Kluyveromyces lactis: one gene and its partners. Each later gene encodes a partner of the first gene's protein in a complex. Links are inferred from orthologs where the notes say so. Each region holds a gene or a part of one and is shown in the gene's direction. Other genes may lie near its edges. The genes, in order: SEC20, SFT1, BET1, UFE1 and USE1.

Region 1 (6,132 bases):
CATGAGAGATTGATCAAAAACCATAACAACATACCCGGTCTTAATTCTGCAAACATCTTGATGTCAAGAGGACCAATTCTGGGATTCAACTCTCTTCCAATGAACCAATCATACAAAATGTTCCCACTGTTGCCCCCCACAGCAAGAATACGTTCTTTAGTTCCTTTGCCATTTGTTCCCCATAATGGCACGAAACTGCCAATATAGACGAAGCAAGCCAACAAGAAAGAAAACAATATAGATATTATGCAGATGTCCGTTTGATGTTCGAATAAATACTGTAGTTCAGGCATTTCACCATTAGTCAATTGATATCTGACAGCTAAAACTAAAGTAAGTGCCATTGACACGGCAATTCCGTTAATCTTATATGGTAGCTTAGACCCATCTCTCAACTCGACACCGTAGAGTTTCGTGCCTGGTAAGAGAACATCCAAAACTGCTAGAGAGAAAAACCATGCAGAGTAATAAGTCCAAAGCTCACCATTGAAGAGATAACTGGATAATGGATTTACCTTGTTCCAAACTTCGATCCAGCTAAAGTTTCTGAATAGCCCTACGATATGATAGTCGGGTCTGATCAACTGGTTCAAGATGACAGTTAGAATGGGTAAGAAAACTGAAATCAGAAGGGCTCCGACCGGTCCAGAAAACTCATAATGAGTGGTCTTAGGATTTAAAGCTGTCATTGTTGCTAAGGACATTGGGTATTCAGCGCATTATAATAATAATATATACTAAATGCAAAAGTGATTTAGCCTTCTTTCTCTTAATTCTGTACTTTTCGCTACTTTATACTATTCTTTTTTTTAAGGTTCATGCTTGAATACGAAAATTGCTAAACGACGAACACATGCAAGGGTTCTATTTGAGAATGTAAACCGCTTACTTAACACGCACCATTGGGCAATCCTCTAATCCGGTTTTTTTCTATTGCTAACCTCCATTAGAAGTAAGGTATGTCATCACTGAAATGATAAGCGAGGTCTCCCTTGGCAGTGTCGGAACAGTAAACGAGCTATTACAGGTTCATCCACTAAAAATGTTATATTTTCTGGATACTCGGCATGTCATTAACCTAAAAAAACCACAAACAGGTTTCAAGAACGCTCATATTGCAGAATAGCATATATTTTGTCACAAATAATGTAATATTATCGTCATTCTGATAGCTATGGCTAGGGATCTGTAAAAGGTCCCAGCTATGGGCGATACCGTTACATAGAAGTATAAGTCCATGCTCTGCATTTATCCAAATTCCGTAAGTTAGTTTGGCATTCACCTCATCTTTTGAAGCATAATTTAAGCAAGTTAAATGGTCCAATTTTTCAGTGAAATTATCAATCGGATCACAGCTCATGATGAAGGTGTACTCCTTATGATATCTTTGTAAAGACCTCAAAAGCTCCACTCTTGTCAGCCGCTTGGCATTTGACCAAGCAGAATATTTGAATGTAATATCATAGAATAAGTCCCGAATGTATGCCCTTGTCAATAGCCCAAGATTTTGCTGAAGATAAATCTGGGCATATTTAGGATGTCTTGGTTTTTGAGCTTCGAAATTTTCCATGATTTTAATGAACTGTTGCCGATACTCTTCACATAATCTGTTCATTTGAAAATGGTCGTAATTGGTCTTTTGTAACAGGCGAGGAAATATTGAGCACTCATAGGAGTAGTGATCCGGCCAATGAGATTCACTTGACACCAACGTTGCATCCATTGAAATATTTTCATCAGCATAAGAAAATGGTCGTATATTCAAATAATGCTGATAAAGTCGATTCTGGCGTGGTTCGAATACTTGAAATGGTTCTTTTTGATGTTCCGATCGTTGAGTTAAGGTTATATTTGGACAATTTAACAACCAAACTAGTAGACTATAATTTCTTGACTCCCTAGCAAGCCTAGTTCTCAAAGTTTTGATAAATGAGCTCGGCGGCAATATCCTTTCTGGATCAAAATTGTCCGCAATCAGATGGGATCCTTTAAATAAAGACAAATTAACATAACAAACTGTCTCCTCATTGTTACTACAGTCATAAAACTCGTCTAATTCGCTCATTTCGAATTGGTTTGGGTTTTTAAGATAGATTTCTTTATATTTTACTGATTGTTGAAATGAAGATGATAAATACTTACTGACATTTTTTCTATTTTTTTGTCTTTGACCTGAATTTTAAACTGCTAAATTCCCATATAAAGATTGAATGATGAAAAAAGCTCAACTGTAAACCTTAATTAAAGATACTTTTATAGTATTGCATTTCTACCTACATCAAGTTAAAGGTGTCATTGGAATGCGTGTTTTAAAATCAACTAACTCGCTTTAGGGTCGGTATTACAAGTGCTCCATAAATCAAGGCTAGCGCCATTGTCACGTATCCGGGTAACCAAACATATCCTTCAGTCTAAAAAAGATCAATACTTGATATTTACCAATAACAATTTCAACAATAGCAGTAACGGCAGCAGCAACAGAAAAGTTGTCGTAAAGGTTTTGAACCTGAAAAGCATCCGACATCTTTATGGTATAATCACATAGAAAATAAGAAGATAAGCAATGATGTTAGTATCTGGAGAATCATTAGAAGCTAAAAGAAATCTCTTGCACTCTTTGTTTTATGAGAGTTTATTCAGGGAAGAACAAAGTTCTAACACCAATGAAGACCTTGATGATAAGGTTGTGAGTGAATTGCTTACGTTTGAAGATATGATCCGTAGCTTTCAGCGGATAATTGAACTGAAATATGGTGTGAGAATACGATACGAGCCAAAATTCACGATAGAGAGAGAACCGAGCGGAGTCGATAAGCATGATGAACAATGGATCGAACAAGTCAATGAACTAGTGAAAAATGTTGATTTTAGGAAAGAGCTAATAGAGAAATACGAGGTTTCTTTAATTGAATCACGTATGATGCTCAAGGAAACGTTGAGCGATGCGTTGCAAAGTAAACTCATGGAACGTAGAGGCAGTACAACTTCCATTGATTCTGATTTGAACAGGTCAGAGATAGATCGTGACGGAAGCACAAACGGCATACAGCTACCGAATACAGCCACTAATATCAAGGGTAAGACGTTACAAGTAAACAAGAAAATCACGTCTAATCTACTTCGTACGAACCAAATCTTACGTAGCAGCGTGTTACAGAGCGAATTGAATATCGATGAGTTGAAACAACAGACGGATACCTTAATGTTAGTGAATGATAAGTTTGACAGGTTCAAGGCAATGTCACAGGCTTCAACAAAACTCATTAAAGCCATTAACAACAGCAGCTATCAAGAGAAACAAAAAGTGTACGCCGCAATTGCATTTTTCTGTGGTTGTATAATGTGGGTTCTATGGAGAAGAATATTCAAATATCCAGTTAAATTTACCTTCTGGCTATGTTTCAAATTCTTCAAATCGCTACTATACACTGTAGGGATAGTGAAAAGTTCTGTGTCCCCAAATCAAGCTTCTTCCAGCTCCACAGTGGTTTCTGCAATTTCCTCAGTGACAGATACTATTTTAGACCAAGCTTCCTCCTCAACAAGTCTTCTGAAGGAGGTATTGTCACAAACAGAAACAGAACTCACATCATCTCTAGATGTATCTCAAGCAATCAGCGATAGTTTCGATAAGCTAATGGACGAGTTATGAAAGGAAAACAGTAATCTAGGGAAATAGTAAGAGCCCGTTGAAAATCCAGAAGCAATTAGAGTTCCAATCACGTGATTTGTTTAATTTCGAGCCATTACATGTGCTTGTGTATTTGTGTTTTGTTTTCACATGTCGTTCTGGAGAAGAAAATATTCCATACCGTACGAAGGTGTCTAAACAAAGGGAATACCTGAAAAATTTTCGCCGAACATGCACCGTGGTATCGCCGAAAAGGGAAATCATTCTGCACATTTTCTCGAAAAGCAACAAATAACTGAGGTAAAAATCTCGCCGAAACTAAAATAGGCTTTTCGCCGATAGCGCAATTCGGTAAAAAGGCTAAACTGCCTTCGTTAGGTTAAATGCATTTAAGTTTAGTTAATAGCAATTTCATTATCTAGATTTGACGTGGTTCGTATCTCCTTCTTGTCGTGGTAAGGAAAGGCGTACAAGGAACGAACTCTTCGAGACCGACGATGTAGTTTTTCCCCCTGCGAGTTGGATAAACATCAAACATGGATACCTTTCTCTTTTCAGTATCTATGTTTCGTCTTCCGCTATTTCCTCTACAGTCTTGTTTGTGCCTGAATTTTTCTTTGTTTTTCTCTGCAAGAAAAAACCATTTAAATATAGTGCGTTCATGACAATTTTCGATTTTCTTGTCCCTTCTGAGCATCTTTTCGGTATTCTGGGAGAGAAAAATATATGATATAGAAATTCTGTAAAGTTTCAAGGATCATACAGCCAGGTCATATAGAAACACAAAGAATCACCTCTTCGAATCAGTTTCTTTATCAGGTAAAAGACCATTTTATTGTCAAAAAGGAGAAACTAAACACGGGTTTCTGTTTACGTTTTAGAGTTGGTTGATAGGTTGTTTTTTATTACAGAAATAAAAAGAACAAATTTGAAATTAAAGAGTGCTTGTTTCGGTTTCTGTTCGAGGGTTTTCTATTGAACTTTATTCTCTCTTTTCGCTGATTTCCTACTACGAGTTTTCAAAACTACGTCAAAGTTTTTTGCTTATTTTTGTTATATAAGTGCTGCATTTTTGGTGTTGTAGTTCCGTTAGCTTTTTGTTCTGATTATCCTTTCTGCATTGGCTTTCTTTCACAGAACGATCATTAAGACACACTCCACAAGGAAACGCGACTAAAAGATTTGAGAAAAGACCTTCCATCTATCTTCAATTTTACAATAGCTTCTAGTTTCCGGACGTTATCTTGTTTCAGTTGATTAGATACCAAAGAAAAGAATAAGCAGTGTTTCTTCCTGAAAACACTTAACAACACTGTCATATCAACTGTCAGTACTCCTTGGAAACATTTAAACATTCGCTTCTGTATAAGTTTCAAAAGGTTAAGCAGAAGGCTTTTTGTTTTCCCCATCTATCAAAAAGAGAAAATAACAAAAATGAACGATACTTCAGAGCATTCCAGTGATGTCTCTCCCATCATTTTCGATGATATCTCTCAAAGCAAATTGAAAGACTCATCTGAAAATGAAACCACGGATAGAATCATTATCAAACCGGTCAATGATGAAGATGACACTTCAGTCATGATTACTTTCAACCAAAAGATTTCTCCGTTTATCTTGATCTTGACCTTTACAGCATCTATCTCTGGTTTCATGTTTGGTTATGATACTGGTTATATATCGAGTGCATTGGTCTCTATAGGTACGGACTTGGATAATAAAGCTCTAACATATGGTGATAAGGAAATAATTACAGCTGCAACATCTTTGGGTGCCTTAATCTCAGCAGTGTTTGCAGGGATTTCTGCCGACATTTTTGGTAGAAAACCTTGTCTAATGTTCTCTAATATTCTTTTTGTCATTGGTGCTGCGTTGCAGGTTAGTGCACATTCATTTTGGCAAATGGCAGTAGGTAGATTAATTATGGGGTTCGGTGTCGGTATTGGGTCGTTACTAGCGCCATTATTCATTTCTGAAATCGCACCAAAACATATCAGAGGTAGACTAACGGTGATAAACTCACTTTGGCTAACAGGTGGTCAATTGATCGCTTATGCATGTGGTGCTGGGTTGAATAAAGTTCATAACGGTTGGAGAATTTTAGTCGGACTTTCTTTGATTCCAACTGTGGTGCAATTTACATGCTTCAGCTTCTTGCCAGACACTCCGCGTTTCTACGTGATAAAAGGTAACTATAAGAAGGCTGCAGAAGTTTTACAAAAGAGTTACATTAACGCTCCCCAGGAACTTATCGATCAAAAAATCCGTGAACTATCAGATTTGAATGAGGCTATCCCAGGTAAGACCCCTGTACACAAGTTCTTCAACACTGTCAAAGAATTACATACTGTCCCATGCAATTTCAGGGCATTGGTGATCGGTTGTGCTTTACAAGGTATTCAACAATTCTGTGGTTGGAATTCTTTAATGTATTTCTCTGGTACTATTTTTCAAACTGTTGGTTTCGAAAATTCTACTGCAGTGTCTATCATCGTTGCCGG
Region 2 (5,574 bases), on another chromosome or scaffold:
CGATGATGTACCCTGGTTCACCCTTTCCATCTGTTTGTTATTTGTTTATGTATTTATTTATTTATCAATTATTTTGTTTTATTTCGATGCTGATTTTTTTTTGTTTCTTTTCCTTGAGAATCAAGAAACGTTCAACGTATTAAGAAACTAAACAATATAGGTCTAAAAGCAACAGTTAGCAGTTTAGAAACCTTACATACAAGTAAATCCTGATTACCGTTAATTTCCGACATGTTAATGAAACAAAGGACCTCGATGATGTAACAGTGTAAACACGAGTAATTTAGATGTACATTATATTATTGTTATAATAATATATACTGATAAGAGTTGAAAACCCTCACTTTAAAATTATATGTATGTATAGTGAGGATAGTCATACGCCTCAAAAGACTTTAAGGAAATGAGGAGTGAGAAATGTTATTTCTATGAAGAAAAGAGATTTTTGAATTTGTAATTGTTGCTAATGAAAGGAATTGGCAAAGCTTCATAATAAACCGATTAAAGTTTAAAAAGTTTAAGCCTTGGCAACAGCCTTCTTAACAGCGTATCTCTTTTGCTTCTTCAAAACCAAAACTTGGAATCTTTCGAAGTCAGACAAAGCAGCACGTCTTTCTCTTTGAGCGATCTTCTTAGCCCAGGAAGAAGTAGCCCATTTTTCAGAGACACCAGCAGCAGCCCACTTCTTTGAAACAGTAGCAGACTTAGCACCTCTTGGAACAGCAAAGGTCAATGGAGTCAAAACGACTTGACCTAAGTTGATAGCTTGTCTTGGGACACCAGTGGTTGGACCATCAATCAAAGCCTGGAAGGAAATTAAAATTAGACAAGTTAATGTCATGGATATTTTGTTAGTAAAAATTGTTCGATACGAGTTTATGGATAGAAACAAAAAAATAACTAGGAAAAGGACTGTCATGTTCATACCAAGTACGAGAGCCATCGAGTATTAACGACACATTCCTAACCTTACCAGAAGGAGGGAAAACAAACGTAGTCTAAACCTCTCTCTCGATGTCTGTTCAGTACAATAGTTTTTCATTCATTTCTCAAAGTATACTTTCTTTAACTCGGGAAACAGTTTATCATGAATCATTCTTTCCTCTTCCTCATATTATTCTTCGGTTCGATCCTATACATCTATGCAACTTTCCCAAATAAAGCATAAGAATACCAGATCGCAGTGTGATCGATATCTGTTCTTATTTCAAATGGAAAGATGGTACTGTACAGGGAATCTCCGTTTCATTATAATCTGTAAAACATACTCTCTTTTGGTCAATGATTTCAACAATAGTGGCCAACTTGCCGGCGGATTGGCCTTGTTTAACCAAAACAACACGGCCAACTTCGACCAATCTCCAGTTAGAAGCTTTAACAACAGAATCAGTGGACATCTTTCACTTGGTTCTTCTTCCGTTCTGTAAATCAAGACCAAACCTAATCTAATATAACGTAATAGTAAGTATTAAACCGTTATTATAGTATACCTTCAAATAGTGTAACAGATAAAGTAGTCAAACAATTTTGTTAAACCTTGGTTCCAAACTCAAACTTCCAACGCAGCCCTGTGTGTCTGTGCGTGTCTATCCGGTGAAGCTGGAATTCGCTATTGTCAGAATCCAGGACGCAGAGTACCTTGGAGTGCTTATTGATGAAAAAGTTGCGTGGGTAACAATGTATGTGGGCTACGGGTTTAAAATACATACCTATTCCAATTTAGGTATTATATTACAGGACGAATTCATTTTCATCCTAACACAGGCGCAACAAAATATGTAATGGTTGGGTGTTTAAAGGACATTATTGAAATATAATGAGATGTACAGGTGTATAAAAGGGCAGTCCCACGAAAATTGTTATCAATGTCCGCATGCTGATTGAATTATATATAAAGAGAGCGTATGAGATGAGGTATGCTGTTTGTATTCACACGATTAAACGGTGGTATTGTTAGACAGTTAATATTAGGATTGTGTTTCAAGTATGAAGCTTGTTCGTCACTTTAATAATAATAGTAACAGCATGAGCAGTAGCCACTGCTATTACTATACCTAGTTTTAGTGATGATTGAGATTTAGCAGCAGGAAGTATGGATTTGAGAAGAATTCTTATCATAATGTTTCGTGGTTTTGGGGTTCGCTTCTTTTCTTTTGAATGATGTTTTATAATTTGCGATCGAGGGCAAGTCATCTCGGGACATGCCTAGTTCCATTATGGGAGTCTTGTGGTATGCGAATAACTTTCGGTCTGACTATTATAGAAAAGAATCCTTTCATTACAACACATTCATTATAACTAATTCTTCTCTTTCTTTCACCTCAGCAGAGGTGAGGAGATAATTATCGTGTACTTCTGCACCTAGTCATGTTCCAATTGTGATCATACTTATATATACCACATATTTCTCAGGTATGGAGGATAAAGCGAACCATAACTATCTTTACGAGATGAAAACAGTTGCCTAACGTTGATTTCATATGAAAATTATAAAACTAACAAACACCAAGATCTACTCTGATTTCGATAATTATGGTTTTCGCTTTGTACCGTTAACAGCGTCATGTATAGTATTTGTATTCACCGTAGCTTTCTTGTACCTTTCGCTATGCTTCGCTGACTGAAATGAAATATCATTTCTAACGTGTTTTGAAGATTCAATTCCCATTATTATGAGCGATAGAATTGAAACACTGTCTGTACCTTAAAAGGCAGGATCAAAGTGCACCTCAGAGTTTATATTATAGCGAAACGTTCACATTTAGCAACTAGAACGCGATATAGAGCCACTCTTGCATAAAGTGAACTCTCACCATGTCGGATTCCAAGTACTCACAGGTGGAAAATGATGTATGTTCTACCAAAAAGACGTTTGATGGCAGAATAGGCTTGAACCTACAGGCGCAGTATCCTTACCGACTGTACGGTATGCAAGTGCCACTTTAAGATCGAAATTTACTAACGTAACGCTCAAACATTTTCTTTAGAATAATCAAAGGTTAGACGAATTGGCCAATAAACTATCTACATTCAGAAATATCAACCAAGATATTGGAAATCAAGCCGCAAATGACAGCTCCCTTATCGACAATATACAGAACTCATTCGGTCAACTTTTCCTTAATGTCAAGAACTCATCTACAAGGCTCCAGAGATCTATGAATGCCGGTAATAATATATGGCGTATGGTGGGTGTATCATTATTGTGTTTCTTCATATTGTACACGATATATAAGGTATTTTAAGAACCTTTTGCTTACTGACCGCAAGTACTCTTCTTTATAGGAAGAAGTTTGAATAAGCAGAAGATATTCGTTGTATATACACATATGTATACATTCAGGTAATGTAATGTCATAGCATCATCCTTTCATGCACCTTGAGCAGCATCTCTTCCCAATCTGTAATTACCGATCCCTTGTCCCCAGTTGATCTTGGCTCTAGTCACGGGTAATCTTCTTCTCAATCCCTTGAACTGTGTTTCATTCATGTACTGGAACTTATTGATGAGATTCTTTTCAAACTCGTTCTCAAACTGCTTGATGCTTACTATTGGTGAATCCGTCTGTGCTGATTCCAAGGAAGCAGTTGATTTGAAACGAACGTTACCGTCTTCGAAGTAATGAGCATCGACGGAGACTTCGCCAGAGATCGTATCCCCATCGACATCATACACATATTCTGATAACCAGTAACCAGTCCAGAAATCACCTAAACTTTTCTTGTTACTGACAACGATTATGGCATATTGGTCGCTCTCTGGAATCTTAAACACGTTGAACACAGCTGTATCAGGGAAGAAGTTTGAAACGTATTTAGACAATTCATCGTAAAGGTCTGATTGTACCTGAGTGGCATCTTCACTGGTATATTCCTCAATATCACTAGCTTCGCGGGTAATATGGTCTACGGCAAATAAAACCTTGTTTACTGGATCGAAATATTTACTTCCAGATTTATTGTATTCAGACACAAGATATCTCTCTTCACCCTTAGCAGCTGGCACTCTGTGCTTCTCATTGAATTCTTGGATAATTGAAGCAATCTGTTGCTTGCTTTGACCATCGCTTAACACTTGTAGATTATCGTAAACCAAAGAGATTTCCTCTGGAGGGGAATCGAATACAATATCTCTCACAATCTTCTCAAATTCAGACATAATATGATTTTCACAGTGTGAATTGATGTTCACCACAATTTACCTTAAAATGACAGGTTAATTGTCTCTAAATCCACTTCTTCACTGGTAGATTTTTGCCTATAACTGTAGTAAATTTTAACTTAAGAGTTCTTTACGATATCGTTATTCGTCTCATTTATTTTTTGAAAGAAAAAGGGACCTTAAATTTGAAGGAACCTAGGCTATCCATGACTTGTACTAGGGAAGAGCTGCAGTTGATTAATGACATGGAAGGCGCGTAAGGCCATGTGTTTTGGCAATATATTGAGATTTAAATACTCTTACAACTAAATAAACATGCTCTCTTGACGTATGTGCAAAGAAATAAGCTTATCATAGGATAGTATTTTTATATAGAAGTGCAGATTAAGCATGAAACAGAACAGATCCACTACTGAGCATTACTGTTAGAGCTCATGTTATAATGTTGAGGCATTTGAGGTTGCTGCGGAGGTATAGACTGCATTGACATACCGGTGTACTGAGGATATGGTGCCAATGGCTGTGGGATATGGTTCGTACCAGTATAATTGGTGTTACCGACTGAGCTCGCATAATTTTGAGGTGAGTTTATTTGACTCAAGGGCTGCTGAGTTTGTTCAGACTGTTGAATTTGTTGAGTTTGTTGAGGTAATGGATATGAATATGGCGGATTTGGTATGCCATTCATTTGCGTTTGTGTATTTGTAGGACTTGTGTATTGAGCAGTTGGTGACATTGGACTTTGTGGGCCTGGAGTTGGTGCAGGTCCCGTCATAGGCGCGGGCGGAGGCGCAGAATAAGCATAAGCATTAGATGCTCGACTTAGCAACTGGTTGTATGTGATTTCAGCATTAGCCAAAATTTGACGTAATGATACGAGATCTTCTTTCTTCTGAGCGTACTTACCAAGCATCTTTGATATCTGTGGGCGAATTGGTGAAACTGATCCGTACAAATCATTTATCTCTTGGTCTTGCGTGATATCTGCGTTTCCAGCTTCTCTCAACTTATTCTGTAGCCTGTCAACATTGTCCTTTTGAGCGAAAACCTGTTCGTCCTTTGCTCTTTCTGCTGCCAATTCTTGTTGAGAAGGTTCTGTAACTGGAGTTACATAATTGAGCGGGAAGATTCCAACGCTCCCAGCAAGCGTTCCTCTCCACCAATCCCTGTACACCTGCTCAACCACACAAATCAGATCCCCTTTCTTGAAAGATAATTCATCCTGTTCTGTAGAATTGAAATCGTACATTGCCCTTACCTTACGTATAACAGTTGGCGCTTGTTGTTGTTGAGCTTCGGCATTCTGAGGGTACAGTTTCTGTTGTTGCTGCTGTTGCTGCTGCTGTTGCTGCTGCTGCTGCTGTTGAGGCTGTTGTACTTGTTGCCTGCTACCCGTCTTTTCAAATTCAAGT
Region 3 (5,579 bases), on another chromosome or scaffold:
GTCAGTTAAACTTGCTAACAAATTGACACTCTGAATACAGATGAATTGGGTCAAGTTATTGGCAATCAACATGAATAATTTTCTTGGAAGATTTATGTTCGTATACGGTAACAGGACTGTTTCTTTTGACTCCATCAATAGTGGAAGATCCTTCTTCAAATTCAAACGAGTGAAAATTGGAAACAATGGTGTTGAGAGTAGATGACAATAAAACGATGACTCTTCCCAAAACCTTCCATACTTACGAAAGGTATACTCATTAAGAACAGCGAGTAATGACATCGCCATCGTTGATAATGAAAGTAATAATATACCGAGAAATAGCCTGTTTGACCCGTTAGAATATTGAAAGCTTTCCAAAAAGTTATGCCACGACGTAATTTCAGTAGACCTGAAAACAGAGGTAATTATGGCCCCAAAAGTCATCATGAGTGCTGCTATAATTTGAGCAAAAGGATATCTCTTTTTGAGAATTATTGAACTGAAAATCATGGTGTTTACGGTGCTCAAACATTTGATGACAATGTGTAATGGAATTGAAATGTTGTACATGAAAACGTTATTATTAAGAACAGATCCAATGAAAAAGAGCAACGCTGACGTTGAATGGATAAAGAACGGTATCTTGCAGGGTTTTATTGAGACTTTCCTCCCTTTTAAGCTGACAAACTTCGGCAGTTCAATTAGGATAACGAATATAAACTGTGTAAAAGTGACCACATTTCCCAACCGATCTTTATTATCTAGTAAAAGTTCTTCTAAACTCAATACATTGGAACAGCACCCACCAAACAACGATAAAATAGCCAATATTTCTATCATTACTAAAGAAATGAAATTATGAGATCAATTGGTCAACGTAAGGGTATTCAACACATGGAATGGTTTCTATATATATAGTAACTCTCTCAATCGACAATAGGAAAAAAAGGACTAGCAATCAATTGACCTTTAAATGAATCCAATAGAGTTAATCTCATCAATCCAATTGAATTCAGTAACCATGAATACCCCTAGACTACACATCCGGAACGATTTCAAATCAACTTAAACAATCTTTCTTTCATGATGACATGTATTGTAAAGAGGTTGCCTGAATTTTATATGAAAAAACGTTTAAGAACCATAAATGCGAACCTTAAAATAGACACGCATTAAACCAACGTATTAAGGGCACGTTTGTCAGAGAAAGAACAGCGAGAAAGGCTCAGTTGAACTAAACTATTAGTGTACTCAGGAACCATTATTTATTGGCTAAAATTTTTATACTTGTACTGACCCAGTGCCATCAATAACTTTAAGGTTCTTTGAAGGTTGAGATTCCAACTGCTATAAGATGAGTTTCCTATTCTATGGAGATTCGAAGCACCTGAGGAAGCGAGAGAGCTTCCACTTTGCGACAATTGAAAAGAGTGATTATTCTAAACAGTTGCAATCATTGCCTTTGCTTCCCTCTTCCTCTTCATTGAGACAAGATCATATATTCTCCAATGTGGCCAAGGAAGTAAATCAAATCAGTGACGATGTTGCCATAATTTATTCGAGACTTCAGGAAGAAATCGATACAGAACAATCGCAGACGAAAGAAGTAAATAACAAGATCAACCACTCGGTAAAAAAACTAGAGTCTAGCTTTTCTAAGTTAGTAAAACTACGATCAAAATTCACTAAGGATTCGGATAAACAGTTAAAACAGTTCGAAAGCAAATATTCTGACATTGATAAGAAGGTACGAATAATCAGAGATGTGAATGAAGAATTATTAGACTACGTAACTAGAAACGGTAGTATAAAAGTTGATGCGACGCAATTCAGCAAAATTTCAAAGCTGTTGCAAGAAAGGTTCCCAGAGAGTAGTAACACGACAGAAACCGAAGCGAATAAGGACAATAGTGGGCAGTCACAGAACGAAGCTAATTCCGAGAGTTTGAACAGCTCTTATTCGAGGCAAAGTACAAATGGAAGCCAAAATAATGCTAAAAAAGATTATCATAGTACCAAAGGAAATTCAGCGGACTCAAACACCACCAAATCGTACCGTCAGTCGATATCCTCGGCGCCATTAGCACTGTCATCAATCCGGAGTACATCAAGGCCATCAATCGCTACAACTCTTGAGCATATATGTATCACAGAACCGTTCACTAGACCTCGAGGCATGAGCAAATCGGCTGACTTATGAAAAGTTTCATGTCAAATTTACCCATTATTGATCTGTTCCACTTTTTACTTCACCGTTCAGTACATTATCTAATATCTTTGAGAAAATGACATACAATCCAGAATCCTTGTAGAGATCAACTAAGCTCTCTTTGAACCCAGTCTGTTTCTCAATCAACTCGACAAACGTCGGATCAATTGGAATATTCCCCAGGTACGGAACGTTATATTCGCTGGCTAATTTGAAACCGCCTCCTCTAGAGAAGATATCTGTACATTCAGCACAATGAGGACATATAAATCCGGACATATTCTCGATGACACCGAGTATATTGAAGTTGACTTTCTTACAGAAATTGATTTCCTTTCTCACGTCTGCCGTAGCGACACCTTGAGGCGTGGTAACAATAATAGCACCATCAGGTGCAGCCCACCTCAACTCTTCTGCGATAGATATATGTTCATCCGAAGTTCCGGGCGGTGTATCGATAATCAAATAGTCCAAATCTCCCCAATCCACATCTTTTATAAATTGTTTAATCATAGCACTTTTCTTAGGACCACGCCATACCACACTATTACCTCTATCATCCAAAAGAAAACCCAAGGACATGAGTTTCAATTCCCCTCCTGATGTCGTAGGAACACTAACGGGTATCCAACCCTTAGAAGCCTGATAAACCTGTTTATTTTCTAAACCAAACATTCTAGGCAACGACGGTCCAGTTAGATCAATGTCTAAAACACCCACTTTGTATCCCTTTAAACATAAAGTTAATGCTGTCTGTGTGGTGACAGATGACTTACCAACACCACCTTTACCAGAAAGGACCAATATAATGTGCTTGATGTCCTTTAAGGACTCAGGCATACCCAATAATTCGGTTTCAGCTGACATCGAGATACAATTGATTATGATCCTGGGACACTAAACGTACCAGCCACTGCAGATATGACTGTATATGCTCACAGTGGACAGAATACTTATAAAAGGGTATACTGCAAATACTTTTCTCAGCCGTTTAAACAGTAGGTTGACTAATACATTTAACTCTTAGCTTAACTAGGATTTCATGATGATAATGATACCTTTGTCAGAGCGAAGGGGAAACCTTCGAGGACAATATCACGTGATTAAACTTCAACAAAAAGTTTTCGTTAAGCGAATCGATTTGGTAGTAGCTTACAGATGGACTAGGAAGTTCCAAGGTGAAACTGCACTTAATTCCCTATGGTTAGATCTGAGTATCTTGACAAATCTACACTTTGTATTTTATTGTTGAGGCACTAGAAATAATTAAGGTATGAGTTCAAACTATAGTGGAATGCAAGGTGATTTGACACAGCGAGATGCGAGTAGGACGCAATTGTTTGCGGGTACTGACTTCTCTAAGTATAAACAACAACAGGATAGACCAAGTTCGCCGTTTGATAGACCATCCCCAGGGGTAGATTATTCTCAAGCAACACTTTCGCAGCTCGAGTCTCAAAGTGATGAACAAATGAATACCATGAGTGAAAAGATCAACGCACTAAAGAATTTATCTCTACGAATGGGAGATGAGATTCGTGGTAGCAATCAGACCTTAGATCAGTTAGGAAACGTTTTTGAACAGACTAGCAACCGTTTGAAAAGGACTTTCAAGAGAATGATGGTGATGGCTCAGAATTCTCGCATTCCATTAAAAATATGGTTCATAATATTTGGTGTTCTGACACTTTTGTTCTTCTACGTCTGGATACGTTGAGAGAGCGAGAGCGAAATAAAAAACCACAAAAGGGTCATGTACTGAAGAGTATCCCATCGAGCATGTATATCTAATTCGTATTGGTTAAACGCATTCCTTCACGCATTATATGTACCATTAAAAAGATATATTAATAAATCGTAACTATCAGTATTAGGTTGAAATATAAGATTATTTATAGGAAGAATTCCTGTTCCTCAATCCATGAGCTTAGCTTCCTTCCCGAGGATACCATGAGTATCCCGTTTTGCAGCGTAACGTCTTTTCAGTTTATAATGATGAATGGTTCTGGGTATTTTCCATAACGCCAAGAATGTCACCACAACAAATAAGTAATTGATTCCGCTAAATTCGCGGAGGTAGTCAATTAATCTGAGCAATCCACTGAGTGGAGTTCTCAAAAAGATGCGTTCAATACGAAGATCAGGGTGTCTTGCGGGGAAATTCAGAATGGAGAGGACTTCGGGCAACGTCTCTAGGGTGATGTATTGTCCAGAAGCATCCTTTTCGTAATAGATGGCTTTTTGCTTGTCCACGACAATGATATCACCAGTCTTGAACTTCCTGAAGTAAACATTTAGACCTTTATTATTCAAGAGAGAAGGGGATTCATTAATGTCCAAATAGGCAAATATGACCTTGTGATTATAACTGTAATTTATCTCTTTTCTCATGGCAGTGACTATATCAACGGATGGTGCGTTTTTGTTCTTAAGCTTTTGCACCAGTTTTTTCTTTTCTTCTCTGGCCGTCTTAAGACCTTCGTACACCGCCTCGTTACGCAATATTTCATAACTATGTGCCGCTACTCGTAGGCCTTCGACGATTTTCTTTGAACCTTCTTCAAACTTATTATTCTTCTTATTAACCAATTGAATTACCAACTTGTCATAGAAATCTTGTTCAAATCCTTTTAATGCTTCAAAGTTTTTGGATGTAATCTCAGTGACAGTTGGAAGAGAGTTTATAGTGAGCCAATCCAAGATGAAGTCCAAATTTCTGGTTTCAGTTGTTGAATATCCAGGGAATATGATCGGAGTAAACGTAGATTTCTTGAATATGAAGAACGTTGGTGATTGGGTAATGGATGTCGTGATAAAATGGTCCTCATTAATTTCAGTGCGTTGATCGGTATTATAATCTTTGTACAGAGTTTGATAGAGAGTATGGCTTAACTTCTTTAGGTCGTCAGTGTTCTTGTACAAGTAAATATTAGGGATGTATCCCAATGGGTCAATGAGTTGTTCCAAAAATTGCATATCCTCAGGGACAACAGTTTCCGGGTTATAATTAAATACAAGCAATATTTTATCGGCTTCGGCATTTGCTTCCAAAATGTCACTTTTTGGTTCTTTTACAAAAGCTTCGATCTCATCCTGATCAATATTTGGAACGTTACTGTTGTGTAAAGTTCTTGTAGCAAAATCAATCAAGGATTCGCTATCGACACGCTTTGGACCAAATGGGAACTTAATAAAACTACCACTCTTGCGGTTAGGTAAGATCAATGCAAATTCCGGGGCTCTTTCTAACCTAGAGTTTCTCTTCTGAGTCAAAGTATCGAAGGACAACTCCCTACAAATGGCTTCATTCTTTGAAGAATCTGTCGGATTCACACAGTTGAAATGTACCGTATTGATTCCTATCGAGTCAGCCTTGTTACTTACCAAC
Region 4 (6,116 bases), on another chromosome or scaffold:
AAAAATTCTTGCAAATGAACCAATTGTTGACCACAGTACGGGAGAGCCAGGGTTTAGAATCAGGTATTCATGATAACCCTCTTAAACCGATTTTGAGAGGCTCGAATGGTATAAGCCCGAGATCTGCGAAGAAAGTGGAGTTTACTGGTGCAAATACCACAACGAAACCAGTTGGGTTTGAGGATCCAATTGCGGAAGATAACCATGAAAATAGCGGGAATAGTCTCGAGCTGAATGATGATGAGGTACGACCTCTGAGAAAGAGGAGGCGTAAGAGTTCACGGAGAGAGTCGTTGTTCATTCCTGCAGATTTCGAGTTTAACGATGAGGACCCGGAACTAGAACTGAATCAACTGCCGATAACTGAGGATGAACCGCCGCCTAGTACTGCAGCCACCTCAGTACCTGAGGAAGAGTCTCAGGAGAACAAGCATACAAAAGAAGAGCGTGAAGACGAGGGAAAAGAGAATGTCTCTACGATACCTTTGGTACCGGTCCTTCCATCTGTTACTAACACAGGCACTGAATGTAGCAATACCAATAAAAATAATACTACAGAAATGGAAACTGCACTTGCCGAAGATGATTCTTACAATTTCACTACATCAGTCATTGAATATTCCATTCCAGAGGAAACTTCAACTCACGAGCATTCACATATCCTACTGGAAACGTCGAAATCGAAAATTGATGTATACAACGACAGAGAAGAGACAAACAACAATGAGGCTGATGACTCAATGAATATCGTCCAGTGCACAATCCCATCACAATCGAAAATTAAACATTCCATGAAACATCCTAGGACGAAACTGAAAGGTGGCCAAGATGATATTATGCCCCACACAGATTACGATAAAGATGATGAAAAACGAGAAAGAAGGACTAGAGGCAAAGCTGTCAACTATAAACTCCCATCACTACGTGCTAAGATGCGTAGACCCACTGAAAAATTGGTGGATGCCACAACTGTCACCGATATTCATGATTTACAAGTGAAACGTAGAAATAACCAACAACAGGGAATACCGTCTGATGACGATGATCAGGAAGAACTCTTAGTGCCTGCTGGCGTACCTGACACAAATGTCGTCATTGCAACAGTGGAAGAAGAGAACAGAAAGGAACCACCGGCTTTACCATTACATGAGATTCACCTTGCACAAAACGTTAAACCTAAAATCGCTCTGAAAGAATTATCAGCTAACGCTATCAACAGAAAAGTTAAAACATCTACTGCCGTAAAAGCAATAAGCCACACTAAATCGCGAGTGCTTAAAGATGTCAAGTTCAACACATTGCCCACAAAGCAACAAGCTATTGAAAACAACTCGTCCGATCCAAATGTATCTGATGAAAATGAAAATAGCAACGTGAAACCGACAAGAACTAAACAGGCTACTTCAGATCTAGCAGCATTTGAAATTATAGATGGAATTTCTCTGAAACATGTATCCAGGACACATCGTGTCAGAGCAAAAGAAGACATGAACAAAAAACGTAAAAGAATTCATAATGACGAAATAAGCATATGATAGAACTACCTCAGCATTCAACCCGTCCCATACCAACATTCGATACCAGCATATGGCACATATCATATGAATCTTTTTTTTTTTCCGGTATTTGAGCATGATATAGATAATATTAAGTACATACATTAGATAGACAAATGATACCAATTATCCATGATCCTCAAACGCTCATCTTCATTTGAATCTTCCCATGAGGGTTATAGTCAGTTATTTCGAAGTCTTCGTATTTGAAATCGTCGATATCACTGACATTTCTCTTTATCTTCAATTTTGGGAAAGCTCTTGGCTCTCTGGCAATTTGTGTCCTTAATGCATCAACATGATCTTTATAAACATGCGCATCACCCAAAGTGTGAATAAATTCACCAGGTTCCATATCACAGACCATAGCAATCATCTTCGTCAGTAGCGCATACGACGCGATGTTAAAGGGTACTCCTAGACCCATATCACATGATCTCTGATAAAGTACACATGACAATCTTGGTTTGGCACCTTCTCCCTTGGGGAAACTGACGTAAAATTGCGAGAAAACATGGCATGGCGGTAAAGCCATCTTGGGGAAATCCGGAGGGTTCCATGCAGAAAGAATTATTCTTCTGTCGTATGGATTTGTCTTCAACTTATGAATAATCTCCTTCAACTGATCAACACCTTGACCACTATAATCATCATCACATGTCTTATATTCGGCCCCAAAATGTCTCCATTGGAACCCGTAAACTGGTCCTAAATCCCCCTCTCTTCTGTCAGTCAACCCAAGTGAGTCCAGGTACTCACGAGAACCGTTACCTTCCCATATCTTAACGCCTTGTTCTGATAATTTCTTCCCGTCTGTACATCCAGCAACAAACCATAAGAGCTCCAAAATAATACCTTTCGTAAACACTCTCTTCGTAGTGAGAAGCGGGAAAGTATCATTGCTCAAATTAAACCGTAACTGTGGAGGCGCAAAAAGGGAATAAGTCCCTGTACCAGTTCTATCTGGTCTGAATTCTCCCTCATTGATAATCCTTTCACATAAATCCAAATACTGCTGTTCTTCCGCGTTAACAGCCTCAAGCTTAACTCTCTTCACGTTTTCATCGCTCAGCGTCATGGTTGACAAATGTTGGTTGTTTAATGATCCGATAAAACGCCAAAGGAGTCGAAGGATGGTTGAAGTAAGATAGAGTTTAAACTAGAGATGGCCTTTAACTCTTAAAAGCCGTAGTCTGATTCTTAACGCGTTTTCGTGTTGTGGGAATTTTTCAATGGCCGGGTAATGATGGTGAAACAATGTCACGTGCTACCTAAATTCTTAATTCCATCCTCGATGAAGCTTTGGTCTGGCAAACGAATGCGAATCAAATTTAACCAAAGGTTACTTTGGTTAAGGAGGTACCGTTCTACTGGTAATTATACTGTCTATTAACTGTCCAATTAGAGGCAACTATCGTGTGTGTTTACCCTATCTAATCTGGGACTATAAGCGTTCCTTGTTCAAGCTTTTCTATGTTGAGTAAGTGTCAAAAAGAATATATACAAAGAAAGTGACTACCTTAATATGAGTAATAGAACTGAGCTCTTCAAAAAGTACATGCAAGTGATTGCAGAGACTCAGGGAATTGATGATGCTAGGAACGAATTGAATAATACGAAAGCGAGAGAGGATAGAGAAAAGGTGAAGGAAAAGTTTAGTGTAAAGGATACTTTTGTAAAAGAAAGTAAGCAGTTGATGAAACATATTATGGAATTCCAGATAGTGATAAGGCAATTGACTCCCAGGTACGAAAGTGCTACTGACATGACTGATCAGGAGAAAGATGATTTTGATACAGAGAGCAAACTTCAATTACAGCAATATTTCGAGAAATATAAGCAATTGGAATCGTATGAAAGACAGAGACAAGAAATGATGAAAGAAAAGTTAGAGAAATGGTCCGCAACCGTACCATTTTTCTCTAGATCAATTGACGATGTATCCAGTTTCCACAAGGTGAATAATCAATTTCGTATGGGTATATTACAGTCATTGAATATGTGGCTCATGAAGATTTCAGATAGGTTGTCAACCATTCAGCAGACACGATTATCCAGACAAAGACATATCGAAGCCATTGATTTCAATGCTCAATTACACTTACCTGAAGAAATTTCTGTATCACAGTCTCCTATGATAACGACAACTGTTGAAGAAATCAAACAGTACGAGGAAACGATGTCCAAACTCTCTTCAGAACAATTACAAATCTTGGCCACAGAGCATGAAGAACTTCTTAATTTGAAGAACGAAGAATTACAAAAAGCAGAGGCACTACGGAGAACCGCAGTAGATATTGCATCGCTACAGAGTGAATTGGCTACACATTTGCAGGTTCAAACACAAAATATTAATACATTGCTCGATAATCAGACTGACGTGGAGATGGAAATGGAAAAAGGTAACAGACAGTTGAAACAGGCCAACAGGAAAGGAGATAGGCTCGCTAACATGGTCATGTGGTTTGCTATAATTTGTGGACTGCTATTGTTATTCTTCGATTACATAAATTAAGGTTAATTCGTTTCTCTCTGTTGCAATTGCTTACTACACGGTGATACGTAATGGTGTATATATGTACGGTAAGTTTTTAATAATCTAAAGATTTGATCAACGCAGCTCCGATTGTTCTTCCCTCCTTTCTTAGAACCACCCTTCCTAACTTCTTATTTTGCTCGAATGTTAGCATTGGGATTCTTCTTTTTTTCTCCACCAGCTCGATCTCAACTATGGCAGCTTGTTGAGAACCCAAATGCTTCACTTTCTTTTTTAAAACCTTAGATGGATTACTTTTATCGACAGTACAACACAATTTTTTGATTCTACAAGGTTGTTCTGTAGCACCTCTAAAGAGCATGAGCGAGGTACCAGGTAATAACGGTCTATCCAGCCTGAAAGTCAAGAGTCTTGAGGTAAATTCTTGGGAGCTTGGGATATCAAATCCAACGATAGATGCCAAATCACCACCTTGAATATCTTCAGGGAAGGCGTTATGCAACTTCAATTGGACAAAGTCTCCATGTAATGCAATATCCACTTTTTGAGAGTCATTGCCGCATAATATTGAATCAACAACGCAACTCTGCTCAGATGGATATATTGTGATAGTTTCGCCCGGTTGAATAGTACCTGATTCTACTTTACCAGATATAATGGCGGATGTATTTTTGGAAGTTGGAGTGACATCCAAAATGTTGAAGAGGAAAGGCTCTTTGGTAACACTTTCATCAACACATGCTAGCTTCAAAGCAACATTTTCAAGTTCCCCAACGAGACTTGGTCCCTGATACCAAGTTTGAGATGGCGGATATGGGGTTTTGAAGATACCCTCACCACTTAACCCGCTGCATGGAACCCAGCTTACATCGTTACCTTTGAAACCGATTTCTTCGAAGAAAACAGCCAATTCTGATCTAATGTCGTTAAATCTACCTTCGTACCACGATACAGAGTCCATTTTATTCATGGCAACAACGATATGTTTAATTCCGAGACTTCTGGCTAGCAATGCGTGTTCTTTAGTCTGACCATCAAGGTTAAAACCTGATTCAAATGCATCGGTTCCACAGTCTACTGAAAGAACAGCGACATCAGCCTGTGAAATCCCAACAATTGCATTTGGAACAAAATCTCTATGACCAGGAGCATCAACAATGGTGAACGAACTTTTAGTAGTGGCAAAATCACTAGTACAAATGTCAACGGTAACACCCCTATTTCTTTCCTCTGAAGTTTGATCCATGACCCAAGCAAGATGGAATGAGGACTTGCCAATCATTTCACTTTCCTTTTGCAACTTACGAATCAATTTTGTATCAACAGCACCAACGTCGTATAGTAGACGTCCCATCAATGTGGATTTTCCTGCATCAACGTGACCTAGAACTACAAAATTCAAATGAGGTTTCTTGTTGTCGAGGTAGGAAGAAATATTGATTGCATTTTTAGGTTTTGTAGGAACACTCACCTTCTTGTAAGTCTTCACAACAGGCTCTTCAAAAGGTAACTTCTCATCATCATCGTCATCGTCATTGATATCCTCTTCTTTTTCAACAGTTTTTGAACTTTGTTTATCTTGTATAGATAAATCAGCGACCTTTTCTTTAATTTTATCCACCTCGAATGCTGCCTTTTGTTGGTTTATTACGACATCATCCGGAGATGGCTTGCTAAAGTTAGCAATTGCTTGTTTTTTAACTACTCTATTGTTAGTATTTGGATAATAGACTGAAAACAGTTCTTCGTGTTTCCTTTTCGTGGTTGTTGAATTAAACTCTAGTTTCTCCAAGATGCCAGAATATAACGGTACCTTGTTGATTGCCAGAATTTCGTTTATATTACTGACATATGCTGAATCTTTCAATTGGTTAAGTATGACCCATGGGTCATCCTTATCTTTCTTTTCATGATCTATCTTATTTTCTTCGATGACCACCTCTACGTTCGTTTCTTCCGCTTCGGGTTTCTCTATAATCTGTCCCTCAGGTTTACTTTTCCTGAGTGATGCCAATTTTGATGCCAATGTGTGAGTTTTCGGTTGTGAAAAGGATGCAGTTGCA
Region 5 (5,972 bases), on another chromosome or scaffold:
CTCCAAAGGGTCCAAAGCCTATTCAAAGGAAGAATAAAAACACTATTGGGTTAGGTAAGGCAATTCAAACTGCAAGACGTAAGGAAAATGAAGTGCAGTATTTGCCAGATGGTGAAGAACGTTTCACTACCGATAAGCACGAAGCTAATTGGGTAAAATTGAGATCTGTTACTCAGGAATCTGCATTAGATGAATTTTTGAGTACTGCTGAGTTAGCAGACAAGGATTTCACAGCGGACAGACATTCTAATGTCAAGATCATCAGAATGGATAACGGTGCCGATGCAGCCACATCCCAGGGATTTAGTTTGACCAATGAGCAGAAAAGTAAGATCAACGAGAAGCAGAGATTACATGCTAGAGAGTTGATTGTCCCAAGAAGGCCTAAGTGGAATGAATCTATGACCAGATTTGAATTAGAAAGGTTAGAAAAGGAAGCATTCTTGGAATGGAGACGTAAATTAGCCTATTTGCAAGAAGACAACGAGGATTTGTTATTGACTCCATTCGAGAGAAACATTGAAGTTTGGAGGCAGTTGTGGAGAGTTGTTGAGCGATGTGATCTAGTAGTCCAAATCGTGGATGCCAGAGATCCATTATTATTCAGATCCACAGATTTAGAGAAATATGTGAAAGAAGTGGATGACAGGAAACAGAATTTACTTTTGATCAACAAAGCGGATTTATTAACAAGAAAGCAACGTATTATTTGGGCCAAGTACCTTCTCTCGAGGGGCATCTCTTTTACATTCTTTTCTGCTGCCAAGGCTAATGAAATATTAGAGAGACAAGAGGAACTAGGGGATGAATACGTTGAAGAAGAGGACGATGAGGAAATACTGGCTACAGAGGAAGAAATTGAAGAACTTGATGGGGAAGAAGTGAACAAAGAAATTCTGGATAAAATTAACATACTGAAGATCGATCAACTTGAAGAATTGTTCTTAGATAAAGCGCCAAACGATCCGCTACTTCCTCCATTGCCCGGTCAAGAGCCAATCATACAAATAGGTCTAGTGGGTTATCCAAACGTTGGTAAGTCTTCCACTATAAATGCCTTGGTGGGTGCCAAGAAAGTTTCTGTCTCTTCTACCCCTGGTAAGACCAAACATTTCCAAACTATCAAGTTATCTGATAAGGTAACGTTATGCGACTGTCCAGGTCTAGTTTTCCCTAATTTTGCATACAATAAAGGTGAATTGGTGTGTAACGGTGTTCTACCGATCGATCAGTTACGTGACTATATTGGGCCATCGACATTAGTGGCAGAAAGGGTCCCTAAATACTTTTTGGAAGCCATTTACGGTATCCATATTCAGACCAAATCCGTAGAAGAGGGTGGGAATGGTGAAGTACCAACTGCACAAGAATTACTCGTTGCTTATGCCAGAGCTCGTGGTTATATGACACAAGGTTTTGGTGCCGCAGATGAATCTCGTGCCTCTCGTTACATTCTCAAAGATTATGTGAACGGTAAACTCCTGTACATTAATCCACCGCCTCACATGGACGATGATACGCCATATACCAGAGAAGAATGTAAGGAATTCAACAAAGATTTATACACGTTCAGTAAATTACCTATCAACAGACAAGAGCAACTTGCAGAAGCTGCCAAACACAAAGGTATACAAGATTTGGATCTTGCTCGCGATTTAAGTCGATTAACGTTCTCTGCTCATATTGGTGGTGATGGTGATAAAGTACAAGCTAAATCTGTCAACCATGGTGGTAAACAAGCAGCCTTGTACAACGTAGCTGATGAACTTGACAAAAATTTCTTCCATTTGAACGGTGTTCAAGGCAGACTTACGAACCCTTTCCATAAGCAAACCGTCGCCAACGAAAATGGTAAGAAGCATAACAAGAAGAACAAGAAGAGTAAGAAAAAGGCTTCCATGTTTTCCGATTAATGTAAGTACTATCTAAATTCATCCTAAACTCTTATATATATATAAATCCACTGTTTGCACAGTCTATTATCCCCATTCATTATGGAAATGTAACTGCATATCCTTTATATCTTCCTTAGCTGCCCTGCTTCCGGTTATAAGACCTATGGTTAGCATGCAACTTGTCACTGCATTACCCGGTGTTTACTGAAAAATTTGATGAACCAAAAGAAAAGGATACAAAACTTGGTTAAAGTTGGTTTACTTTATACTTGACCTCAGTACATGGTCCAGTTGATAAGTATTCTTGTCATTTGTGGTTATCTTTTTGGTTCCTAGCTCAGCAAACAAGGGCTCTTAAACACATTTCGGCATGTTCAATTATGGTTCGCGTTGTGGTTATCATGGCGCAGACTTATTCCACGCATGTAGAAGTAAGCTCAAGATGCCCAGAGCTGGGATACTCCCATTTAACGCCCTTTTCGCTAACAACAACTGAATTCCTACAGTTTGTAGTTTGATAGTAGGTGGGCGGAAATATTACCCATTTAATTGGTTCAGTAGTTTCCTCTGAAATATTATGAGAGTCGTATGAATTTGTATATCAATAAGATTTAGCAATAGTTAACCAAGTTCAGCCTTATGTTATACTTACCATCGGTAGATACATTAAGTAGCACTCGGTCCACTCTTTCTTACATGCGCTTTTGTAAGGGTTGGCAAGGGTCATGCTTCAGAGTGAATGACTTTCATTCAGACAGCTCTGTTATTTCTTTGATTGAGGTTTGGGATAATATTTTAGTGACATAAAACAAAATGTAATATAGCCTTTAAAATAATACTTAGTACAATTCCAATCACAAATAAAAAGGGATAGCGCCTCGTTAAAGGACATTAACTGACGGAATATGACGACAGATTTAGACACATTAAGTGATCAACTACGCAAAAATTATTACAGGGACCTTTCGCTCTTTCAAGATGACGAAGACCCTTTTTACCATTATCTTATATCTACAAAACTGGCCACAAACTTAAATACCGTGAGAAAACTGGCTATAAAGGATAACTTGGATGATCCGTCTTCTGATGCTATTGATAGATACCAGAAAAACTTTAGCAGACTAGAGGAATCGGTTAGCTCTATCAGTTTCTCCAAAGCTTCTAAGTTGCAACAGAAATATGATGCATATCAGGAATCTCAAAAGAAAAGGCGATATAGTGTTGATTTCGATGCAACGCCCGACGTGCCTATAGGAGATGAGGACGATGTTGATATAATATCCAATGTTGAAGCAATTAATGACAACGATTCTTTGAAGGAGCTCCGCCAAAGGCTTATGGGTAAAAGAAGGGACAGCGCTGATACGGAGGGTGAATCATTTGACAAACAAATGCAAATTCAGGATGATCTTCAGAAGGAACTGGTTGAAGACATGTCCCAGCTAGTTTCAGGCTTAAGACAAGGTGCGGAAGCTTTCCAGAATGCTATCGAACACGACTCTACTGTTCTTAAGGCAGCAGAAATCGGATTGCATGTTACTTCTAAGAGCCTTTCTTCACTCGGATCCAGATTGAAAAAGTATCACAATGAAAAAATTGGATTTTTAATGAAGTTAGGACTTTTATCGTTTATTATAATTGGTCTATTGGTCACCTATCTTGTAATAAAAGTATTTCCAGATTTATGAGTGTCTTCCGCTAAAATCTCCAAGATTTAGATAAAGGCTCTGCTTCACTCAAAAGCTTCAAAGTACAAAATAGACTCATGAATATTCGATGAAATTAATTGATACCGTTTCCACTTATCGAATAGATTGATTCTATTGATTGTCTTATCTATAATTGCATATTATACACTTGTTTAAAATTGACAGGCACTTATATTGTTATAGGACTATTGACTACAGAACATCAAACATTAAATCAGCTTTATTACCAACATCACTGACAAATTCTCTACTATCACCGGCTAATAATTCTCTTCTGATTTCAGGTCCAATTTCTTTGTGACCTCTTTGACGAACAGTTTCAAGTAGGAAATCTCTTTGATCTTGGGTAATATCATTCTTATAACGTTGAGCAAACGCTAAGAAAGCTTTATGCCATACCACAGGTAAGACTCTGACGGCATCTTGGCCTGTACTTCCATCAGTGACTTCTCTGAATCTCATGAAGTAGAAGACACATTCGTCAACAGTTTGATAAGGCAAAGCATACTTCTTCTCGAGTAGAATTTTGATGAAAACGGTGGTGGCTGGGGAAAAAGGTAATCTTAAAAGGTAGGACAATGCTGCAGCAGAATGAAGAGCTGGCACAGAGACCTTGGATAACACACTTGCAGCAATGGTAGCTTCTCTAACATTACAACCGGATTCCACAAGTGGGAATAAGAACCCTTTGAAAAAGGCAGCCGGTTTATACAATGATTTCTTTAATGCACGGTAGACATGGTAATTTAAGTTGTGATCTTCGTTAAATTCAATTTCTTCTCTGAAGCGTGGTAACAACACAGCTATAACGAATTTTTGGGCCTCTTTAGATGATAAGTTAGAAACAAAAAGTTTAGTACCTTCGTATATAGCATGCGGAGACCATTCCTCTGGATTAGTAACATAGAGAACATCTTGCCAGTTATTTAGAGAAGGCAAAACTTTGAATAGTTTGGGTAGTTTACCATGTCTCCAGGTCTGCATAATGGTACCAACGGCAAGGTATGCTTGAATCACCTTGGGTGGTAAGGCGACACCTTCTGTACGATCTACAGGTGCAGCTGGTTCCGCTACTGCAGAGGCATCACCTGCTTCTTCTTCATTATACTGTAGTTCCATCTCTTTTTCTCTAATAGAAGCCATAATCTTATCGGCAAGGTTATATGATCCATTGGCAGAGTTGAAATCAGCAGAAGTCTTGAAATATTGGTCAAACATTTCAGCATCTTCTTCGTCAATTTCTACCACTTCTTCCTCCTCGTATCCTTCGAAATCGTCTTCATCTTCCGGTTCAAAGTCAGATATGTTATTACCTTGAGCTTCCTCTTCCTCAGCTACATCATCTTCATCCGCATAGTTGGCCACACAGAATCTGTTTATTCCTTGGCTGGATGTCTGCAGAGACTGCTCGTCCTCTTCCTCTAATTCTTCCTGCTGTTCCCTAGCTAATTGCAAAATTTTTCTAGATTGCTGGGCATCGACAAATTCTTCATCTTCATGGCCTTTTTGATCCTTAGCATCGATCTTTTTCTTACCTTGTCTTTTCAACTTACCATGTTGAGAGTCAAGATCGTTCAATAAAGGATCGTGTCTCTGTTTACGACCGCTGCCACCCATTACTTTACCCATTTTCTCCGTAGAACAAATAAATCTTGTATCACTAGTCGTATTCTGAGCACTAAAGCAGACACTAATGAGTAATTTTGTGATTGTTATCTGCCATTTACCTCATCTCATCTCATCTCATCTCATCTCATCGCTTCTCATCTCATCGTTACTTATTCAAATCCCAAAAATTTTCAGTCAATGCACGGACAGAAAAAGAAAGGCTAGAGATACTCTGTTTAGAGAAGTCAAAGGTTCAATTAAATAACTCTGGAGCATTGGCAGCGGGATCGTCGTGATTGAAACAGATATGCCACAGCGTTGAACACAAATTCAAGCTACTGTAAACAGCCAAGAGCTATGTTCTTCTAATGATTACAGGCAAAGAATGTTGTTTGTTTTGCACGTGACTTTAAAATCTGGAAAGATTTTTCAACTGCAGCTTAGATTCGTTTTACGTATATATAATTAACAATGGATCAAGTGTAATGTGATCTCATATGCGTGGTGACACATTGCTGGTCTCTTGTTCACTCAAGCTTCTCCCTTGAGTTGTACTTATCGATTGATCAAAAACCAAGTGTTCATTTCCGTTTTTTTCGTTCCTTGCAATCTTAGCAAAGTTACAATTAACATTAGACTAGGCCCTTCCAATTAATCTTTTAATTGACCACCAGTTACTGAAGAAATCATGTCTAAAAGATCTTCTAGTGTAGCGAACACTCCAGTTAAAAGGAAGCATTTACACTCTACTTTGAATCAT

The links.
Region 2: SEC20 (region 1) and SFT1 share a complex: the UniProt entries of both Saccharomyces cerevisiae proteins name them as parts of the SNARE complex. The link is inferred for Kluyveromyces lactis from reciprocal best matches to the Saccharomyces cerevisiae genes SEC20 and SFT1.
Region 3: SEC20 (region 1) and BET1 share a complex: the UniProt entries of both Saccharomyces cerevisiae proteins name them as parts of the SNARE complex. The link is inferred for Kluyveromyces lactis from reciprocal best matches to the Saccharomyces cerevisiae genes SEC20 and BET1.
Region 4: SEC20 (region 1) and UFE1 share a complex: the UniProt entries of both Saccharomyces cerevisiae proteins name them as parts of the SNARE complex. The link is inferred for Kluyveromyces lactis from reciprocal best matches to the Saccharomyces cerevisiae genes SEC20 and UFE1.
Region 5: the proteins of SEC20 (region 1) and USE1 are in contact, whole or in part, in a cryo-EM structure (PDB 8EKI), measured with the Saccharomyces cerevisiae proteins. The link is inferred for Kluyveromyces lactis from reciprocal best matches to the Saccharomyces cerevisiae genes SEC20 and USE1. Residues at the interface, in NP_010786.3 of Saccharomyces cerevisiae: Asp14, Leu17, Asn18, Leu20, Gln21, Cys104, Leu107, Ile109, Val110, Leu112, Lys114, Tyr121, Val125, Glu126, Leu128, Asp129, Leu132, Gln133, Asp136, Trp137, Tyr139, Cys140, Tyr141, Lys144; in NP_011417.1 of Saccharomyces cerevisiae: Asn23, Arg26, Arg27, Val30, Thr31, Gln33, Leu34, Gly35, Ser37, Asp39, Phe46, Gln50, Gln54, Phe58, Gln62, His65, Asp66, Lys69, Ile70.

The regions. Positions count from the first base shown.
Region 1 is NC_006039.1:1,041,783-1,047,914, forward strand, and holds SEC20 (Sec20p), read left to right. Parts: upstream 1-2,563; coding exon 2,564-3,652; downstream 3,653-6,132. Other genes in the region: ERG24 (delta(14)-sterol reductase), read right to left, coding at 1-704; NDJ1 (Ndj1p), read right to left, coding at 1,079-2,065; myo-inositol transporter ITR1, read left to right, coding at 5,066-6,132. UniProt on the Saccharomyces cerevisiae protein: SNARE required for targeting and fusion of Golgi-derived retrograde transport vesicles with the ER.
Region 2 is NC_006038.1:1,174,285-1,179,858, forward strand, and holds SFT1 (Sft1p), read left to right. Parts: upstream 1-2,814; coding exon 2,815-2,850; intron 2,851-2,987; coding exon 2,988-3,245; downstream 3,246-5,574. Other genes in the region: RPL14A (60S ribosomal protein eL14), read right to left, coding at 518-805, 1,269-1,397; CAP1 (Cap1p), read right to left, coding at 3,371-4,159; ESCRT-0 subunit protein HSE1, read right to left, coding at 4,572-5,574. UniProt on the Saccharomyces cerevisiae protein: Vesicle SNARE required for retrograde transport within the Golgi complex.
Region 3 is NC_006040.1:1,196,865-1,202,443, forward strand, and holds BET1 (Bet1p), read left to right. Parts: upstream 1-3,464; coding exon 3,465-3,908; downstream 3,909-5,579. Other genes in the region: YEA4 (Yea4p), read right to left, coding at 1-822; VAB2 (Vab2p), read left to right, coding at 1,337-2,182; iron-sulfur cluster assembly protein CFD1, read right to left, coding at 2,207-3,058; protein disulfide isomerase EPS1, read right to left, coding at 4,106-5,579. UniProt on the Saccharomyces cerevisiae protein: SNARE required for targeting and fusion of ER-derived transport vesicles with the Golgi complex.
Region 4 is NC_006037.1:695,144-701,259, reverse strand, and holds UFE1 (Ufe1p), read left to right. Parts: upstream 1-3,081; coding exon 3,082-4,071; downstream 4,072-6,116. Other genes in the region: SGO1 (Sgo1p), read left to right, coding at 1-1,535; CDC21 (thymidylate synthase), read right to left, coding at 1,696-2,634; ribosome dissociation factor GTPase HBS1, read right to left, coding at 4,148-6,116. UniProt on the Saccharomyces cerevisiae protein: Syntaxin required for targeting and fusion of Golgi-derived retrograde transport vesicles with the ER.
Region 5 is NC_006042.1:637,872-643,843, reverse strand, and holds USE1 (SNAP receptor USE1), read left to right. Parts: upstream 1-2,800; coding exon 2,801-3,583; downstream 3,584-5,972. Other genes in the region: ribosome biogenesis GTPase LSG1, read left to right, coding at 1-1,913; snoRNA-binding rRNA-processing protein ENP1, read right to left, coding at 3,797-5,233; SRM1 (Ran guanyl-nucleotide exchange factor), read left to right, coding at 5,901-5,972. UniProt on the Saccharomyces cerevisiae protein: SNARE required for targeting and fusion of Golgi-derived retrograde transport vesicles with the ER.